Coturnix japonica: one gene and its partner. The protein of the gene in region 2 interacts with the protein of the main gene of each other region in a pairwise test. Links are inferred from orthologs where the notes say so. Each region holds a gene or a part of one and is shown on either strand. Other genes may lie near its edges.

Region 1 (6,201 bases), on a different chromosome or scaffold from region 2:
ATTCAACAAAATATTGATATATTACAATATACATTATATATATTATTATTATTATATAATATATATAATATATACAATAAAAAAGTGAAACATGCTCTTGCATAGCAAACGCACAGTAAGTGTTAAAAGAAATTTAAGCTGCACCTGTGTTCCCCTTCTGACCAGAAGGGGTGGAGCCACCCCAGGATATAAGAGCCAGACACTGAAGAGGGAGCATCTCTTGGGCCTAAGCTGCTTACTGAGAAGGGGTGTTGTGTAGCCGGAGCTCCCCTTCACTAGCAGGGTGAGTTTAACTCTTTCTTTTTCTGTATGTGACTATTGGTGTTCCTGTGGGTTCTTTGCCTAGTATTACTAAGGATCTGCTGGAAGCAATTTTGCTTCTTTGTGGGCACAAGAAGCAACCTCAAAACTCTTCTAGTAGCCATGTTTCTATTGTTGGTAATTTAAATTGCTGGGTTTGGGGTCTACTTGTGTTTGCTTTGTATGTTTGGATCAGTCTGCAAAATTAGTAAAGAAAAAAACACAAGATTTGTACTCTGAGTTGCAGCTACATCATGAAGTGCTATCTTAACCTTTTTTCATTTGCATTCTTCGTTTGTATTCCACCACTTTCTATCCAGACAGGTGTTCACTACTGCAAACTCTGTAGGCAACTGATTCAATTTTCCTTCATCTAAAAAACCTACTCATTGTGTAAAATGAATGATCTACATATGTAGATTTTAAAAAGCATACATATGCAAATCTTCCTTATTTTAAGAATGCATATGCGTGTTTTCCTTTTAAGGCAAGGCTGGTGAAGAGCAAATCAAATACTTCCATTTAACAGGTGTTTAGTGTTTCTGTAATACTAAATGCCTTGAGATTAAAAAAAAAAACCAACCAAAACTTTGACAAATATAAGAAACCATCAAATGTTTTGTGCTTTTTCTTTACCACTTTAATTATTTAGCATCTCATTGCTACCTGGATTTTGTTTAAAATAAACAAACGCTTTTCAGGTTATCTGTTATTCAATACGCCTTTTTTCATCCATGTTTATCTTCAGCTTTTATATTCAAAAAGTGAGTGAAGATCTTTCAGTACTGACTCTAAAATCAGATCGAATATTTAGCATTGAGCAAACCTAAAAAAGAATACACAAGAGTGTTTTGAAGCATCCATTTTCCTGAAGGAAATTCAACACAACTACTGTTTCCTCCGTTTCTATTCTTCTGGTCCTGCTTGTAATTCACTGTTAAATACCAGCCATTCAATTCTCCATTTATTTAATGTTATTCATTTATTTTGCACTTGCTATCGTTTGGGGAATTTTTGACTCAAAGCATTTTTACTTTGACTGCAAAAGGAGATGAAATATTTGCAGAAAGCGATACTATTTTGTGCTAAAAATAACAACTTAATCCTACAAACCTGTTTAAATTTCCCTCTGATTTTTTCCAGGTCGTCTTGAAGCTTTTCGTAAGTGGGGTCTTCATATGGGAACTTCTGTATCATTCCTATTAATGAATCCAGGGCCCTCATCTTTTTACTGAAAGAAAGCCACAAAAAATGGTAAGTGACAATAAGCCTCCAATAGAAGTCTTTTACATTTGTCACTGTGGAAATTGTATCAGTATTTCAAAATCAAGAGCATAAAATCCAGCCTTCTGTCCTTATTTCATTCAAATTAACTCATAAGGCATAATTTACAGCATAATCAGAAACTAAGTTTGGTACAACTATCAAATGTAAGGCTTTCCTCTTAACTTACCTGCCAAAAACAGACATTTAGTCAGGAAATGTAGAACTACCAACTAGATGACTATGTGTAATAAATGCAGAAAGAAAGCTCACTGGAACATGTATTGAGATAGCTGAAAGCAAGGTGGCATTTTGTTCAAATTAATCAAAACTGGTCAGAAAAAACTCTTAAGGTCTACCAAAGGAAAGTAATAATTGATATCTGGAAGTGTATGTGCCTGCACATGTATAGAAAACTAGAGAAAAGTTAGAAAAAGAGAGAGGGGCACCTAGAAGTTTAGCAGATGTATTTCTGTTGCAGAGATAATAAATTATGCAGAGACCATAAAATATCAGACATGGAAAGCAAAGATTGCTACCATCACCAACAACGTGAACTATCTATGACAAGCTAATTCCCTTGCATGTCTAATTGGCTTAGGGAAACAAGCTATGATTAATTACTGATGGTGAATTACAGCTCCCTCAGAAGAGGACCTCAGAGGTTTAACATGAATGTCTGTCTTGGATGATGGGTTGACTGTATCTATAAGAACAAAAAATGCTAACTGGGGGACCACTGCATGATGCAGCAAGGAAAGCATCTCTAGAACTTCCCCTTGTGCAGTACAAGTAGGCATTGCCATCTTCTCTTTTTCAGGTTGATGAAACCAAGTTTCCTTATCCTCTTTTCAGCATCAGATGGTCCAGACTGCAATGTCATCCCAGACACCATCTGCTCACCCCTCTATTTTTCAGTATCCTCTTTTTTAAACTGAAGAAGAGGCAAAACTGGACATCATAACTTGAAAAAACTATTAAAGGAATAGGATTCATACTTTGAAAACCCTACCTGTTCTTATCATCTGTACATTTTGGGAGCAGATGCTGCCAGGTCAGTGCAAATCCAAGGTAGCTGCCAATCTGTGAATTTTTAGGCATGACATGAAGGGAAAAAAAAAAAACCAAACATATTAAATATAAATGTAGTCATAGAGAACTAAAGCTCTACATTCTCTTATTCCTCAGAAAACAAGTCATTGCATATACAAATGCATTTCTACACTGAAAGGCTCAGGAAACAGTACGCATGCTTTGAAACAAAAAAGTAATGAAACTGAGTTATTGCCAAATTCTACTTCGATCTGTGCATGCACTTGTCACTTTTTACAAGACACAAATTTACAAGACGCAACTGGACTTGTTTGCAGGCTAAAGGAACTTCCTCCACCAGTGTTTACATGTTACAGTGGGAACATCTGGGAGCTTTATTCTTCTGGGAGCTGTGTATGTTAAAATACATGTGCTTGGGAGCTCACATCTCCATAAATACTCAAACATAAAAGAAAGCGAGGCGGTTTCATCTGCATGCACCAAAGCCGTTTGGACACCACAGGTAAGTGGAAACACCAACAGGTTTGTTTCATGTTGCACCAAGCTGCTGTGGTCTAGGGGTGCTGGTCCATGGATGCTTTGCAGCAATCTGCTCTGTGTAATTAGTGATGTGCTACCACATGGGTGCAGTACCAATCTTCTGCTTGAGCCCAAGCACACACTGTATCTAATATTATTATTAGATAGGGGCGTGCTAGAAAACAGACATATTTTGTAACATCTTATTTTAATTCTTCATCAAGCAAGCCCTTGTCAGGTTAGTATTATTTTCCCCAAGGCAGACAATAGGCTGACAGCTCAAATATCACCTAAATTGTATTTTTGCTTACTTATTATGACAGTGAGCCTTCCCAGACCTCATTTAAGGGTTGGTAGTGGAGATGAGGGTATCTTGCTGGAGATCCCTGCCCACCTGAGGCCCTTCTAAAGGTAGGCAGGTTCTTATTTTTTGCCCTTTATTTCTACACCCACGGCTGCTGTATTTGGGCACATCCTCACATCGTGAAGCGTAGTAGCTGCAGCCTTTCTTCCCCACTGTCACACTGAGGATATCTCCTTACCTCAGAGCCAACCCTGGCACCATGCAGACAGCCGCACCTCCGCCCTTCAGCAGCCCCAGCGTGGCTTCCCTCAGCGTACCCCTCCTGGTAGCCCTCCCCGTGAAACCTGCAAGGACAGATGCACGGCTATACACTTAGCGGCTCTCCCTCCCTTCCATGGCCCCGTGAAGGCTCCCAACCTGTCCTCAGCCATCACTATCTCATCAAACATGTCATAGGATGAAGACGGCGCCGCCATTGCGCCGAGCACAGCACGACGGGAGGCGACGGCGAGCCGGAGGAGCCATATCGCGTTGCTTTAGTGCGCAGGCGCCTATTCACTCCATTAACAGGCCCAGCGCCTCGCCGGCCTCAGAGCAACAGGGGGCGGCAAAGCAACGTTGGTGCCAAGGGACTCAAGTTCTCCAAACAGTTTCAGTAGTTGGAGTGGAGATAGCACTGACCCTCAGGGCCTGAATAAAGGATTTACAGCCCTCCACACCTCCCCAGAGTGGAAAAAGAGATCCTCGCTATCTCCTTATATAATATATTATATGTTAAATAATACAGAAGCTACTGACAGTAGCTTTTTTAATGATTTTTTATTGCAACTGTACGTATTACACTAGTTACACTAAAACGGAGATTTAAAAATGGTTTCCTAACAATTTAATGATTACAAAAGTTCACAAAACCAAAAAAAAAAAAAAAAAAAAAAAAAAAAAAAAGCTGCTTTCAAGAGTATATAAATAGAATCTTGAGCATAAATAACAGTAACAAAATAAACAGAGGTATGTATTTAATAAATTAATTATAAATATTGCATTGGCAATGAAGTGCTAGGTCAGAAGAACACCAGTGTTTCCAGTAGAGCTTTTTGTATAGAAATCTCTATTATAAGCGAGCCTTTGGAAATGAGTGGAGTCCCTGAACTCTTACATTTGTCTTCTTTTGGTTTCTCTTTGGTTATTCCTTTGTTAAACTGTCACAAGGGGAGAAGAGAACTGAAGACACCAGACATATGCTTTTTGGTCATGAGATCCACATGATCCCTTCCTGCAAGAAACACGGCATGGCCAGCTCAGTTCTGCAGCATTTGGGTCACTGAACTGTATCTCCATGGTTTCAACTGATGCAGAATCAAGCCTGGAAGGACTTAAAAAGAGTTGCTGACGGTTAAAGGTAAAACACAGAAATGTTCTTTGCAACCGATGTGGCCCACACGTCATCCATTTCCAGACTTTCTCTCTATTTGCTAACAACATACATGAGTATATACAGCAGAACCTATATCTGGACTCTAACTTGGAATACTCATTCCTATCAGATGAACACAAATGCTAGTTCTGTATACGCTCCTACCCATGTGCTGAATTCCCATTAGCACTAAAGACAAGTCTATGCTGGATGATGCAGATCCCCTAGTGAACATAAATTAGCTTCTAAAATAAACCACCAGTTTTCCAAGGTATCCCTTAGCAATAGGGGAGGGAAGAAGTATTTTCCTTTCTTCCCTTCTTTCCTGAGGGAAGAAAAAGCACAATATGTAAGCAGAACTGTTTTTCAGTGGTATGCTTTCAACAGAAAGCTTTCCCAGAAGCTTGTCAGCAGCTTCTCAATAAACAGTACTAACTTTAGTTCACATAACCACACTTGTTCAGTGTTCCTTAATTGTGTTTTGTTCCAAATGTTTGTCTACAAGGTTGTGAACTTCCCTGTGAACGGCAAGATTTCCTGTATGTCTATAGAGCAGAAACAACAGGTGAACATATGTGGTAATGAATTTGATATACAAAAACTATATATTTTATCATCACCACACAAATGGAGGAGCTCTGAATGGAGGAACTTTCTTTAGGTGCTCTTATTTAATTTTTCTTTTCCAAGTATACTATGGAGTGGTGATTCTTTCAAATATGGCACCTGGGCACTCTGCTCTTATGGGTACAACACATTGTATGGGAAAGACTGTCTCCATCCTGAGACATGACATCACTACACAGAAAGCTAAAAACCTGCAACATTCTGTGGTATTTCTTTAAAACCATGTGTGCAATCAGAGTCATTTCTGAAAGCTGGGGCTCTTCACTGGAGACAGTTTGGAAGTGATCCCAAAGGGATCCATGCTGTCCGTTTCGAGAGGCGACGAGTAGACCTCTGGCTCAAAAGCCTGGCTGTAATCACTGTATTCACCAAAGTCTGTCACCTCCACTGGCACAGTGTTGATCATGGGTAAGAAGTGAGACAGTGGGAGAAAATCTTTTCCTTTGAATTGTTGTCTTTGTTTGGCGCTGCTCAAAGACACCGATATTCCGTATTTCTTTGATTTATACACGTTGTAGCCGTCTGGACGAATCTCCTCTTCAAAGGAACAGTCCTCGATGGAATAGCTGAGCTGAACAGCAAGGAGTAAAACCAGTTACAGACGTGCCTGCCAGACTCACTGCATTCAGTTAAGATTGTGTGAAGAAGAGCCTATTTGCTTAGGTATGCATTTGTAAAAGTACATTTGTGACATACTGCAGAGACCTCCCATTAGGATCTA
Region 2 (6,160 bases):
TTTAAGAACACTCTACACTCATATATGTAATTCATAGAATCACTTGATTTGGAAAAGAGCTTTAGAAGTCATTTAAGCACCCCCTGCTTGATGATCAAGTGGCTCAGAGCCTCATCCAGCCTGACCTTTTATGTTTTCAAGGACAGGTCATCCACATCTCTGAGCAACCTGTTTCAACACATATTCTAAAAACCTTTTTTCTTGTATCCAGTCTAAATATCCTCCCTTTTAGTTCAAAACCATTTCCCCTTGTCCTATCACAACAGACCCTGCTAAAGAGTTTGTTCTTTCTTATAGCCCCCCTTTAGATACTGAAAGGCTGCTATAAAGTTTCTCTGGAGCCTTCTCCAACCATCCAAACTATTTCAGCCTGTCTTCCATCGAGAGGCATTTCATCCCTTGATCAGTTTTGTATCCCTCCTCTGGATGTGTTCCAACAGGTTTGTGTGTCTCATTTACTCAAGGCTCCACATCTGGACACAGTACTTCAGGTAAGGTCTCACCACAGTAGAAGGGCAGGACCAACTCCCGCAATCTGTTGGTGATACAGTTGCCTTTCTGGGCTGCAAGGACACACTGCTGGCTCACGTACAGCTTGACATCCACCACTACTCCCCCCCACCAACCTTTCATCCCCCAGCAGTATTGATAGTGGAAGTTGTAATGACCCAGGTGCAAGACTTGGCTCTATCGAACCTTATGATGTTCACCTGGACTCACTGCTCAAGACTGTCTAGGACTGACAAGCCAGTAGTTCCCTGGGTCATTTCTACCCTTCCTAAACAACAGGCATGACGTTGCCTTTATTCCAGTCACCAGGGACTTCACCTGACTGACATGACTTTTCAAATATCACTGAGAGTGGCTTGGCAACTACATCAGCCTATTCACTCAGATCTCTGGGATGCATCTCAATGGGACCCATGCACATCTGGATGTTCAAGTTCCTCAAGTGGATGCAAACTTGATGTTCACTAACAGTGTGAGGGAGACTGTTCCTCCAGTCCCCACCATCCAATCCATCCACTCAATGGATGTATGAAGAGCAGCTGACAGTAAAGACTGAGGCAAGGAAGAACCTCAACCTTCTCCTTATCTGTTATTACCTGCCTGCCTGCATTGCTCATTGGGAGTATAAGCCTTCCTGCACTTGTATTCCCTGTATTCAAAACCTGAGCTAAGACTTCTCATGCTGCTTGCTTCGGATAGACTTATAAAGCACTTTTAAAATTAAAAAATGAACAACAACAAAAACCCAAGCACAACCACATATGCACGTGCATCTTCCACACATACCTTTCACGCGGACAGACTCTTAAGAGGTTTGTAACTTACTTCAGGGTCCCTTTGAATTGACCACACGTAACCATCAGCTCAGCACCTTGTCTATAACCTTGATTGAAGCCTTCCTGAATTGCAAGCTCTTTCCCAGCCTCAACACCATCTCTATAGCCCTCCTATAACAGAAGTGGTAAAACACACTTTTCACAGCCTGCAGAATTGGACCTACAAACACTTCTACAACAATAAAAAACCTTAAGCACTTAGTCTCTTAAATCCAAGTTTTTTTTTTTTTTTTTTTTTTTAATTTGAACACTGCACTCAACTACACCACTGCTAAAGCAAAACACATTTTTTACAGTGCATTATAATTTACTGTTAATGCTGCTGATCTGTTAACATGCAGTTCATTTCTAAACAAACCTCCAGCTAAGTCAGAAAATAAAGACTTGTCTACAGGAAAGCACTTTTACTTTTGTGCTGACCAACTCCCTTAACAAAGTTTCCTTGGAGAATTGAAATTTATTTCTTTCTCCTCTAATCACATTACCATACATTTATGTTCTTCACCCACAAGATAAGCCCTAGTGGGCCCAGTTTGAATGAAAACATCTGTCAGAGAAACCCAAGTTTATGTATTTGTTTTGTTCTCTGCTTTCATAAAATGTATTTTTCACTAAGATAATAAATAAGCCAAAAAACTACTCAGACCTGAAGTAGTTCACACCAAATATTAAAAAAACAAACAAACAAACCCAACAAAAAAACACCAACAAATATCCTCTATTCTTTGTTAGCATCAATTAACCTACAAGTATGAAGCAAGTAGGTTACATGAGAATTTAGCACTGCCATTCAGAAATGCACATAGTTGTGTAGAGGGAGTCAACATCTTTTTTGGTAAAACATTACTTTGTCCTGACAGGCTACTGAAGATAGTAACTTCCTCTTAAATTTTTTTTAACACTCAGAAGAAACCAAGCCACAATAACTTTCATACAGCCATTCTTAGTTTTCTCATTTAAATCAGCCATATTTTTAGCAAGATATGTTACTGGTAAACCTAAAATATTTTAAAAGACTATAAAAATCATGCTTAGAGAAATACCTTCAATCTTTTTTTCATGGTGTTATTCCATTCTTTCTGTACTGGATACATCTCATCTGCATCTTCATCAAATATGTCCTCATTGGATCGACTAGCTACAACTTGTACCCAGGACATAGCAGCAGTGATGACACTTAACTTTTGTTTATGGCCTAAAGCAAATACTGAGAAACTCTCAGAAGTCTCCCAGCTAAGTGTCAGATTAGAAATAAAAGTAAAAAACATGAGTTCTGAAGAGAAGCCGTATCAGGGGATGATTATTCAACCTGTACATTCATTTCCATGTGAAAACTGGATGCTATTCCTCACTGGAGCTCATCTGTCAAAGGAGACAGAAATTATTACCAGTAAAGCACCTTGTGTGATTTACAAGGACAACTTAAGACTAATTTCTTCCCTTCTTTGCTTCTTATGTCAGCAACAAACAGAAGTGCACCAAATTAGCATTTCTATATGTTGCTAGTAACTTGAACAGCAGACAGAAACACTTATCCAGAGCTATAAAATTTTGATAGCAGCCAACAAATAGTCCCATGCAGCTTCTAAGCAGTGCATTAAATTATATGCATATCTAATTGCCTGCAATATTGTGATCTTGACAACTGATGATGAGTTGCACCTTTGATCTTCAGTTTCCTAACTCTGCCAGATGCTTAATGCTTGTAAATCCTGAATAAAAATATTACTTTTTTTTTTTTTTTTTTTAATAATTAGTTAGCAAGTTCTGATGTAAAGAGATGAATAAATAATGTGATTACTTCATCTTAGGAACTGATAAGACCTTAAGAGGCCATTCACAGTTAACTGGAGCAAATTCTTACAACCCACAGAATGGTGGATACAAGGAAGTGTGGTGAAATCACGCTTCTGGGTTCATCATATCCAATTTTTATCTTAAGCAAATCTTCCAGAATTTCCAGTACCATTACACAGAGTCTTTTGGAAAGCATTAAAGCAGTTAAACAACTGGTCCAAGAACTGCAGTTCTTCTTATACACAAAGTTCACTAATGTGAACTGACTGCTTAATCAGCTTATCCCTCCCAATGTCCAATCAAAAAGTGGTGAAAACATCCAAGTAAATACAACTTTACAACAGTACCTCAGGCTTGAGAGATTATTTTTCAAGATATTCAGCAAGACAGCACTTGCTACCAGATGTTATATTTCCTTAAACCATCTCTATTAAGTGACAGCTTATTAGCTCCAAAGTGAGTTTCACAAATAGCCCCTACACAAAGAGCAGAGAAGGGAGAACAAAATGCAGCAATTAATGGTGTAAGGTAGCAGGTGCGGGAAGGAAGAAACTGTTCGGTATGTCATAAGAAAAGTGAGCTGGATAGATGAGAGAGCTGTACACCTGGTTCTCTATGATAAGATTTCAGAGTGATACTGACTGCAGAAGATACCAACAGCATTTAAGGCCCGCAATCCCCCAATGCCAGCACGTCCCGGCACACCTGGAGACCAGCAGGAGGAACCTGAGGGCCCTACGGGAGGAGGCACAGCCTGGCCCGGGGGACTCCAGGCAGAGGCCCCTCGGCCAGGCCACAACCCGCCATTTCACAGCCCGGGCTGGCGCCGCAGCTCCCCACAAACTGCAGGACCGAGAAGATCTATCCCTCTTCCGACCTGTCGGCAGCCAGAATCCCCCCTCGCCGGCGCCATCTGAGTCCCCGCCGCCCTCAGCCCTCACCACGGCCGCCGAGTCACGGCGCTGTTCCGCTCGCAGGGGGCCGCCATCTTGACTGAGGGCACGCTAACTTCGCTGCCCCGGATGCGGCCCGTAAAAAGCCGCCATCTTAATCAGCAGCACCGTGACTTCCAAGTCCGTCTGAGTCACAGGACGCCGGCAGCCATCTTGAGTAAGGGCATAGACTTACAGCTTCCGCAAGGAGGCGGGCCGGGGAGGGAGGACCTTGCCCCATGGAGGGAGTGCGAGCGTGGTTGTAATGGCAGGACTGAATGTGGGTGCTCCTGCTCGGGGCTGCTGCACCGGCCCTACTTCTTGCTTATCACCTTATTCTTTACCCTCAGCTGCTTGATATTCTAGGAAAGGTGTATAAGTCATACCTCAGAGTCAGTGTGAGTTTCCCATATTCAGATTATCTCAGTTTAAATGCCTTAATTTTACCATGGTTGATAATTCTACACACGTCTGTTTAGGACAAATCCTTGTGCATATGAGGAATAATGATGAAGGCTCATATTCCCATCCCTTTCTTTTAGAAGCAGATAATTTAGTGACTCATATTGTGTAAACAGAGCAGCACTATTGGATTATGAAGTGTACTTGCTGAAGACAAGTTAATTGTATGCTGACGGCCTTGACATGACTACTAGCAGGGCTTGAGAGTGAGGTGTAGTGCCTCAGAGTGGGGGCGTTTTCCTAACCTGTGTGTGTTCTACATAAAGCAACATCTGGGTATTATGGTGATGTTTTGCAATGACACATACCAGAGGATTAAAACACATGAACAATATTTCACAGGCTACAGAACTGTTCTGGCATTTCTGCAGAATATGTATATAAGAAGAGTTATCCCCCCCCCACAGTGTGAAAAATAAACAAGGAATTGATTTGTGATTCATTGCCATTTCTAATATTAAAATCTGGATAATTTCAGTCAGATATCTGGCATACAAAGGTACCTTAGAACCATAAATGCTTGGCTCAGCAGTTACTCTCTGCTCACCTGGAGGGTGTGGGGGGGAGTTTTCAGGGGGCCATTACACAATTGTGCAGAGCTTAGGATTGTTAAGGCATTCTTGGAGATGACTAGGAATTGTGTTTCCCGGTGGCGCAGTGGTAGAAATGCCGCGTTGCAACAGCTTAGGGTTGGGTTCGAATCCCCCCTGTGGCGCAAGTGGTAGAACTGCCGCTCTGCTACACAGAGGCCCGAATCCCGGGGGGTTGGACTCGGTGATCTTTTAGGTCCCTTCCAACCCGCACGAGACTATGAGACTATGAAGGATTTTTATCAGTTTGATCTTAGTGTTAAGTGCTGCCATTAAGCAGTCAGCCAGCAGAGATATCCAAAAGTAAAGTATATGAATGTAAAAACCTTTACAGTTATAACTGTGCATAATGCTTCTGATAAAGGATTGCTGCCATTCAGATCAGTATCACACACGCTCATCTTTCAGCCATCAGTGCCTCTAACCCAACTCAAAGGAGGAACCGGTTGATTTCCTCATAATTCACAAGGACCTCTTGGGATTTCAGACTTTTTTGAAGGGTGGTTGTTTACTGTAGCCAGGACTTGTGTTGTGTATGGGCTACTCTGCAGGACAGGATGATCAAATCTTCAGTTGAGTGATTTCTATTATAGTATACTGCTGTCTCAGGCAGAATTGAGTTAAGGCTTTTGAAGGGCCCAGGAAAGAAGACTATTTGCAATGAGATTACGCTGTCAGTTATCCCACACTTTTATTACTTCTCTACTCTGGCATCACATTGTTTATTGTATTGAACCAACACAGCAATGTCTCATTGGCTCTAATTTTGGAAGTAGTTTAATCCTTTTAAAAAATTACATCTTTTGGATGGCATTTAGACGGATTTCAGGAACATTGTTAAATCAGTATTCACTTGTTCTCTGCAGTAAACAAGATTAAAATATAATGGGTGAGGAATAGAATATTGAAATGTCAGGAGAATAATGACTATTAATATTTAATAAAAAGTATATGTATTTTCATCAAGTATTGTATGATATATCTGAGAAATTTTAATCTGTAAATCCCTCCCAATGTGCATTCTGTATATGCT

What was found. The genes of interacting proteins can lie anywhere in the genome.
Region 1: the proteins of YAE1 (region 2) and LTO1 interact in binary tests that used the Homo sapiens proteins (3 or more experiments, as listed by UniProt). The link is inferred for Coturnix japonica from reciprocal best matches to the Homo sapiens genes YAE1 and LTO1.

Annotation. Positions count from the first base shown.
Region 1 is NC_029520.1:7,242,522-7,248,722, reverse strand, and holds the start of LTO1 (protein LTO1 homolog), read right to left. Parts: upstream 4,005-6,201; 5' UTR 3,916-4,004; coding exon 3,857-3,915; intron 3,784-3,856; coding exon 3,678-3,783; intron 3,655-3,677; exon of another isoform or gene 3,459-3,654; intron 3,119-3,458; exon of another isoform or gene 2,934-3,118; intron 2,647-2,933; coding exon 2,576-2,646; intron 1,555-2,575; exon of another isoform or gene 1,532-1,554; coding exon 1,414-1,531; exon of another isoform or gene 1-1,413. Other genes in the region: FGF19 (fibroblast growth factor 19), read right to left, coding at 5,719-6,051. UniProt on the Homo sapiens protein: The complex LTO1:YAE1 functions as a target specific adapter that probably recruits apo-ABCE1 to the cytosolic iron-sulfur protein assembly (CIA) complex machinery. May be required for biogenesis of the large ribosomal subunit and initiation of translation.
Region 2 is NC_029517.1:76,798,424-76,804,583, forward strand, and holds the start of YAE1 (protein YAE1 homolog), read right to left. Parts: upstream 4,186-6,160; 5' UTR 4,085-4,185; exon of another isoform or gene 4,021-4,084; intron 3,960-4,020; exon of another isoform or gene 3,849-3,959; intron 2,709-3,848; 5' UTR 2,615-2,708; coding exon 2,390-2,614; intron 1,458-2,389; coding exon 1,336-1,457; intron 1-1,335. UniProt on the Homo sapiens protein: The complex LTO1:YAE1 functions as a target specific adapter that probably recruits apo-ABCE1 to the cytosolic iron-sulfur protein assembly (CIA) complex machinery. May be required for biogenesis of the large ribosomal subunit and initiation of translation.